Xenopus tropicalis: one gene and its partner. The protein of the gene in region 1 purifies or fractionates together with the protein of each later gene. This does not show direct contact. Links are inferred from orthologs where the notes say so. Each region holds a gene or a part of one and is shown on either strand. Other genes may lie near its edges. The genes, in order: arcn1 and copz1.

Evidence for each region.
Region 2: the proteins of arcn1 (region 1) and copz1 fractionate together in Homo sapiens (co-fractionation; 5 studies listed by BioGRID and IntAct, with this or other methods). This does not show direct contact. The link is inferred for Xenopus tropicalis from reciprocal best matches to the Homo sapiens genes ARCN1 and COPZ1.

What each region holds. Positions count from the first base shown.
Region 1 is NC_030683.2:80,549,571-80,553,000, forward strand, and holds part of arcn1 (coatomer subunit delta), read right to left. Parts: intron 3,238-3,430; coding exon 3,026-3,237; intron 2,887-3,025; coding exon 2,722-2,886; intron 2,069-2,721; coding exon 1,903-2,068; intron 1,270-1,902; coding exon 1,122-1,269; intron 342-1,121; coding exon 233-341; intron 1-232. UniProt on the Homo sapiens protein: Component of the coatomer, a cytosolic protein complex that binds to dilysine motifs and reversibly associates with Golgi non-clathrin-coated vesicles, which further mediate biosynthetic protein transport from the ER, via the Golgi up to the trans Golgi network.
Region 2 is NC_030678.2:145,584,025-145,588,477, reverse strand, and holds the start of copz1 (coatomer subunit zeta-1), read left to right. Parts: upstream 1-1,593; 5' UTR 1,594-1,681; coding exon 1,682-1,699; intron 1,700-4,453. UniProt on the Homo sapiens protein: The coatomer is a cytosolic protein complex that binds to dilysine motifs and reversibly associates with Golgi non-clathrin-coated vesicles, which further mediate biosynthetic protein transport from the ER, via the Golgi up to the trans Golgi network.

The DNA of each region.
Region 1 (3,430 bases):
CCCTTTAATATAACTTGCTAACAAGCAATTATTATGCAGACATTAGTTAACAGCAGACAGAGCTTAAAACAGAATACATCAATATTAATACTGAAGAGCATTCTTATATTTGGACCTACAGGAGAAAAGACCATATGAATAAGCCGCTTGCAAGAAGATAATGAGAATCAATTGCTAAACCCATATTTACTATCTAAATTGCTTTATATTGTGCCTTGTTAGAATCACTTACGGTAGAGGAATGGTAATGACAACATCATTCAGTTCCAGCCTTTCTTCCTGGAGTTCATATTCTATGTTAACATCACAGCCATTCCCACTTTCTGATGGCCAACAGTTAACTAAGGTAAGAAAAAGACATTTGAACACATATTAAAAAGTTTTGTTAGCAACTGTATTTAATTAATTTCACAAACATTCAATGCATTTGCTAGATGGCAACTGTACAGTCTGTTCTTTAAAGGAACAGTTCAGTGTAAAAATAAAACTGGGTAACTAGATAGGCTGAGCAAAATAAAAAAATAGTTTGAAAATATTTAGTTTGCCAAAAATGTCAGATGTGGGCCTGATAAATGTGAAAGCAGTTGTTTTCCAGGCCGACCTTCGATGAGCTCTGCGTGCCCACATTAGGCAGCTACTGTACTGTAGCAGGACCGAGAGAAGCGGATCTATACATACTGTGTGCCCTTGCCCTTAGCATTTGCGGTGTCACTTACACTCAAAAATTTGCCTAATGAGCAGATGGGGAGCTGCTGCATAGAAATTTGAAGGCATGGATTATTGTTTTTATCTTCGCCAGGTGTTGTACGGTTGGTATAAAAAACAGCATTTTAAAGCATTTTATTTTTTTATTTTTTTTCCTTTAGCCTGCACTGCTGAAGTTTATATTATGAGAAATAAATGCATGTTTTTTTCACTTTACCAACATATACTTTTTGTATCTTACATGCTGTGTACAGCTAATTATTCCTATTACTGAGTGTGTATTAGAACAATTGACTATAGTTTGAATTTGGATGTCCTGTCTGCAACCTTAAACCACGTAAAAGTGTACATGAAAGGATCTGCAGTTAATACTGTCCTGCATAATAGCACACTGAATGTTAAAACACAGTACTTACTGGTGAGGGGAATAAAAGACTCATCTGTGGTCTGCAGTCTCCACTTCAAGACACCCACGTCACTATTCAGAGGGAAGGATTTTTCTGGGTTTTTCAGCCCAATTACCGAATCCGAAGTGAAAAGTTTTTTGTCCACATTGGGATGAGTCTGAGACAAGAAAGCGAAGTTATACAAAACAATATGTAGCAGCCATCCATAACCTTAGACTGTCTACAAAAAGTTTTGACCATTTAAAACTGGAGCTTCAGCTCTTAGTTTTTCAGCCATGCAACCAATCATTTAATTTACAAACAAGCACTATTCAGTACAACTGTAAAGCAGTGTACTAAGCATGTTATACAAATGTTTAGTATACTTGTTTGATCATTCAATTCTCATATTAAAGGACTTGAAAACCCTCAAAAAATTTTTTTGCCTAATTAAAGAAAACATAATTCCAGGCAACTTTCCAATGTGAAAGTTTTTTTTTAATTGAAAAATTTTATAAATTAAATTGCTATTGAAAGCAGCATTTACTTTTTAAACAATGTTGCAAAGGTCAGTCTGCTCCAGCAAGACAGGTCTGTCAGTCTGCTGGCATGTGTTACATTGTTTCAAATGCCAGAGCCACCAGGGAAAATAATAGAAAAGGTAAAGTAATGAATGTATATTGCAAAGTTGCTTACAATTTTTTCTTTTATCAGGCAAAAAAATATATTTTCGATTGACTTTTCCTTTAATCCATTTGTGAACCATGAAAGACAGTTTATTTCAGTAATTCAAATACAGATGCTTCCTAACCTGCAGTTGTACTCCTTTTTTATCTTCATTTTCAATGTGCACACGGATCCTGCCAAACTTATCATCTGTCACTCTGAGCATAATCAGCCCGTGAACCTCCATATTCTGAAGTCCTCCATCCCGGCTGCAAGTAAGGGAAATTTTTTCTTCAACCCTCAAGTGAACACTGTAGATGAAAATAAAGAATATACTCAGAAGTCAAAAACAGCACAAATCTGCTCACCAAAAGAAAAATCAAAGACCCTGTTGGGAGATGCAAAGCAGAGGTAGGGATTCTAGCACAAAATACTAAAGTTTTACTAAGTTTGCTATTGTGGTAAGTCCTTTAACATGAGAGTGGTTACCAACAATTTATAACATGTTAAATAATAAGCTGCCAAAATGTTGGTTTGCTACAGGCAGCTCGAACATAAAAATCTAAAAAGCTGTTGCAAACTGTATACATACAGCATAGAAGTTTATAACAGAGAATAGAGCTTTTAATCAATAAATGGATTTCTCTAAAATGGTGCATTTCATCCCCTCTCAACAAATGTGAATGCTAAAGGGATACGGTCATCAAATAAATCGCACCTTTTGTAATAATTTGTGAAGTTTTGATTGTTCTGCCTTTGCTAGCCTTTCTTCAAATGTTGAGAAAACAAATATTGAATTCTTCCCACTTAAATCACACAATCTAATTTCTATAAGAAATGCAAAATACTGAGCATAAATAACTGTTTTTATATATACAAAGAAAATACTGGATAAAACCTCTTTCACCACAACTGATATTACAAAATATCAGACTTCCTGTCCCCATAAATTCCCAACACTGACCTCTCCATGTTCACGGGAGGAGCAAGCACCTTGGCCACTTCTGACTGCCTCTTGCCAGATGAAGGGGTGACAATAGTTTCTCCTTCAGATTTTAATTTGTCCACAAAGTTATCCACCTCCTTCCCTTTAGCTCCAAGTTTCAGGGCTTTGCCAGAACCAGATGGCCTACAGGGGGCAAGACAATATGTTGCACATAAAAACCTTTTTAAAGCCATAATTCTACAATTCCCATTCCATCATTTTAAATATTATACAGTTCATTTGGTTTGCAATAACACTTTACAATTGTATTTTGCTTGTATACCGTGATGGAACAGGGGCACTCTTTGTTTTCTCTGGTTCTATAATGGTCTCTGTAATCAGCGAAACTGCATTGTTAGACATGGAGGAACCACCCGAACTTCCAAACCCTCCAAATCCAGGAGCCTTCTTGCCCTGCCGCTCTGCATCCCTTCTAGCCTGCTGAAGCTCCTTGGCTTTGCGTCGCATCTCTGCCTTGGCTTCTCTTTCCTGTGTCTGTAAAGAGTGCAGAAAGAAAGGTGCATGAATAACTCCAATATCTATATAACAGAAAACAGTTTTACTCTTAAAAATGCTTTAGCGAAAGGCTTGCATTTTATTTTTGTCAGTTGAAAGAAATTTCATTGGGGGTGCCAATGTTTGGCACCCCTCAGCAAATCCAATAAGTAATGCAGCACCATCATCTTTC
Region 2 (4,453 bases), on another chromosome or scaffold:
TGCTGCTTGCACCTAGCACTAAGATATGTATAAAAGGGGTGGAAAATGGCCATCCCCTTATATTACTCTAATTTTACATTATTTATGGCAGTATGTATTTTATATATAGACATCTGAGTTTCCATGTCTAGGAAACCAGCTTTAGAGGGGCCATCCACAGTTTACTATGTAGATTCACCCCCCCCCCCTTTTTTGTCTTTCTTGCTTGATATCGACCAGGCAGGATCACTCAAGAGCTCCATATATGGGCCAATGAACAATTAAGTGTATTAATGATAACGTTATCTATTGTATTGAATGCCTGTGTGGCCTTCAGTAAATAGGGAAAAGGAATAGGTAGTTATTAGAATGAAAAAACTAACATACAGAAATATTAGTAAAGGTTTATAAACTAGAGTTTCCAAATCTCGAACTCAAATATCTAAATAGGGATTCAATATTGGAAAATGATTAATGTTAAAATAGGGGGCTGTGAGATATTATAAGAATAACCAGGGCTGCCATTGCTATGTGGGGAAAGTTACGCAAATTGCCTAACGTACATATAAAGTTATGGCAAAACTAAATCAATTTACGTAACTTAAACCTGCCTAGAAACTTGTGTAACTTGCATAAAAACTTGCGTACAAGCAAAAGACAATGCAGAGAAGGGAAAACTCCAGTAACCACCAATGAATGGTAAATTCTACCTCCCCCAATGAACTGACTTATTAGCACATTAATTATTCATTTTAACCATTTATATGAACTGCTTATTATAGAGTAATATCTCTGTTTTTATTTGGGATCTATTTACTGAATTCTATGAGTATTCTTTACATTAACTTTTCAGCAGTGGAATGACTGGTTATTGGGCCCCACAGCAACATCATTGGCCCCCTACGCTTATGCAAGTTACTTTGAGAAAACTTACATTTAAACTGCACTGACCCCTAATGAAAAGATTCACTTATTAGCACATTATTATTTTTACTGCTTTAAAAAAGTAAAGTAAGTAGTTTTCTCCAGAAAAGGTGGAAACCCTAACCCCTTTGCATCACCCACGTCCCCATACATATCTCTCCTTACATCCTAATTATGCTTATGTGTTTTCCTTTTTGTTTCCTCTTGTTGTTTGGGTACAAAATCCTGTATATAAGAACCAACATTGCTTCTTTGTAATCAGCTTTGGTGAAGGAACTCTTTGCTGAGATTATCATCTTAGGCAGCCAATACCCACAACACATCTACGCCACTTTTGTTATGCTTCATGTCAGAAGTTTCACACTACAACTTTTTCAACTGGCTAACATAGTGCAGAACACTGGATTGGAACCAAGAGCACTAAGCACAGTTTTTACGCAAAGTCAACCGACCTATCAATTCATTCCAATGTCCGAGCTGTAGCGTAACAGCAGGGTGGAGCTTTAAACTATTAGTGACACAGTAATTTACATCTATTTCCTCCGCCATGGTAACCATTTGCCCAATAAAAGCAGCTTCCGCTTCCAACGTAGACGCATTCGTGTTCCGCCTGTCAGTGACTGAAACCATCAACCAATTAAAAAGCTTTAGACGCTATTAGCCACACCCTTCTTCTTCCTGTTCCAATCAGACTGAGCGAGGAGGCGCGGCTAAAGTTTTGATTGGCAGATGAATTAGCCAACGCGCGCTTTGCTCCACGTCAGCAGGATAGAGAAAGATGGATGCTATACTGTTGGTGAGTGAGGCCGCGGAAATAGCTTTGATTTTAGTGTGAGGGGGCCGGTAAAACTTTATTTTTCTATGGTGGTTGCAATCGTTTGTTTAGCTGGCCAGGCTGCTGTGTAGGGACAGGGGACGAGTGGTTAGGGTCTGTCAGTGGCAGGCTTTGGGCTGTGACTCCCAGCATACGTTCAAACGCTAGGGTAGCTATTCATTTTGGGACCTGTAGGAGATATCGTGCAGCAAAGTAGTTACTTTTTGTCATTCAGGGATGTTGCACCTGAGCCTTACGCCATGGTGAGCCTGTGCCAGGGACCCCCTATTGAATGGCAGGACTGGGCAAGGGCTGCTGGCACAGAAATAATAAAAAATATCTGGTAGTGACATTTTCTGAATATAGTGTGCCAAACTCTATAGTGCTATACCCCTTCTGATATTCCTTGTGTGGGTGTGTGTTTCCTTCCTAATCTGCCTGATTTTTATGTAGAAATAGTAGTAGTAGTAATAGTAAATAGTAGTAGTAATAGTAGTAGTAGTAATAGTAGTAATAGTAAATAGTAGTAGTAGTAATAGTAGTAGTAGTAGATGATTGATTGGGCTTTTAAGGAAAAAGAAAGGTGTCTGGGCTATTCTGAAATCTCTTTGGGTTAGACTGGACAGGCCTGGCGCTTATGCATGTCAGATTGTTGCTATTAGTCTATTTGCAGTTTAACAACAGCAGTTGGGCTATGGCTGATGGTAGAAGAAATATAGAACAGTTTTAACACAATACAATATCTGTATCAGGCATTTAAACTCTTAACAATTTTTTTTTGCAGGATTTTGTTTCCCATGGGGTATTGCATATCCCAGATATAGTTTTATAGAATCTCTCTTTACAGGTTGTGATTAAAGGGTATTGTATTGGGTAAAAACAAGAAAGTTCTAGTGCATTATGCACCTCAAAATCTAGAATAAATGTGCTGAGAAGTTTTTGGCCGATTTATTGAAAATGTATCCAAAACCCTACTAGTCCTACCCATTTTTTCCACTTCCCACTGCCTTCTTTCCCAGACCTGATAGGGAACTGAAATCGTCATTTGCGTGTGTGATTGGCTATGCCCCTCCTACTGTGCTTCTGGCAGGGACCATTAGGACATACCCCCCCCCCCCCCACCACCACTTGAAACATGGACAGGCAGATCCATAGGAAGCTTTAATAAAAAGGCCATTTTGTAAAGCTAATGATTATTTTTATCTCAGAGTGAAACCTGAAACCAGCACCATATATTTCATTTATGCTATATGTCTACTTTAAACTTAGTGTTTGCCGTGTTTATCTACTTTTGAGTGACTGTTCCCCCAAATATTGACGCATGGCATGTAAGTTTCTTGAAAGAAATTCATTAGGAAGCTTTAATAAAAAGGCCATTTTTAAAGCTAATGATTATTTTTAGCCCAGAGTGAAACCAGCACCATATATTTCATTTATGATATATGTCTACTTTAAACTTAGTCTTTGCTGTGTTTATCTACTTTTGAATGACTGTTCCCCCAAATATTGACACATGGCATGTTAGTTTCTTGAAAGAGAATCATTGTATAAAGAGGTTGTTTGGGAATTGAGAAGAACAGGTAACATCTGCTAGCAGAGTCAATGACACCTTGATAGGGACTAACTCAGTAAAGAATTCATACATGCCTGAATCTATGCTCTGTTTTTATTACTATTCCATGTTTCTTCCTTTTATATATTCCCTTTAACAAGAATATCATACATTGCTGTCTTTGAACAGTAGCATAAATTATATTCTCAGTCAGCACCCTAGGCATAAACTGAACAGAACAACTAAAAACCAAATAGTTTAATACTGACAGTATCAGTTACCACTCACAAATTGGAAAGTGAACGTGTCCATCAACCACAAATAAAAGGTAGAACCAGAACAGGCATTAAGTGCTAACGCTTTCCAAACTCCAGGTATAGCACAGTAAATTGGCTCCTTTGTGTTTGGACAAACATGCAAATAATGACTTTCCTATGGTAAGTGGTAAACCATTAATTGAATTCAGGGTCATCGGTGTTTCCCAAGGGGCATCCTCGTCTGGTGGTTGAACTATAAGATGACTGAAAAGCAGGGACAACGTGCTAAATATAGTTTGTTATTGAAATATAAAATGGAATATATTGCATTTATCTAACTAAAAGCATCATGCGCATTTCTAATACAGAGAGGTAGTTTAACAGGTTTCCCCAGAAGAACAGTAGATAGTGGGTATCCAACCCCAGCTCTGATTCACACAGGGAACATTATTTGCAGTTCCCTCTCAGGTCTGTCTAGCTGCTGATTGAATGGCATCCTACAATGCAAGTGCTGAGTGCCACATAATCTCCTTCTCAACCTGGGAAAGCAGCAGCTCAATTCGGTGAATGGTGCTAGCAAGTTTTTTACATTTACGTAACTTTTTCAGCAACACCAAAGGAAACTTAAAGGTACATACATGTATTTAGAAGTGTATAATGCAATGAAAAAATGCTTCTTCTTGACACCATTTGTCCCCTTTAAGTATAATGTGAGAGGTCTGCTGGATTTCAAGCCTTTCCCAAAAAATATTGTCTACCTGGATTTAGAATTTTCAGTGTCAATTTTAACCTGGAGGATAAGCCCCAGCAAGGATTTTCCTTCTGTTACTTTTATTACAATTGAATAATCAGAGTGAATTACTAATTGATTGCTGTGGGTTACTAAGCCAAAGAAAACTTTCCTTGTAAATATTGCTTAGATCTGAT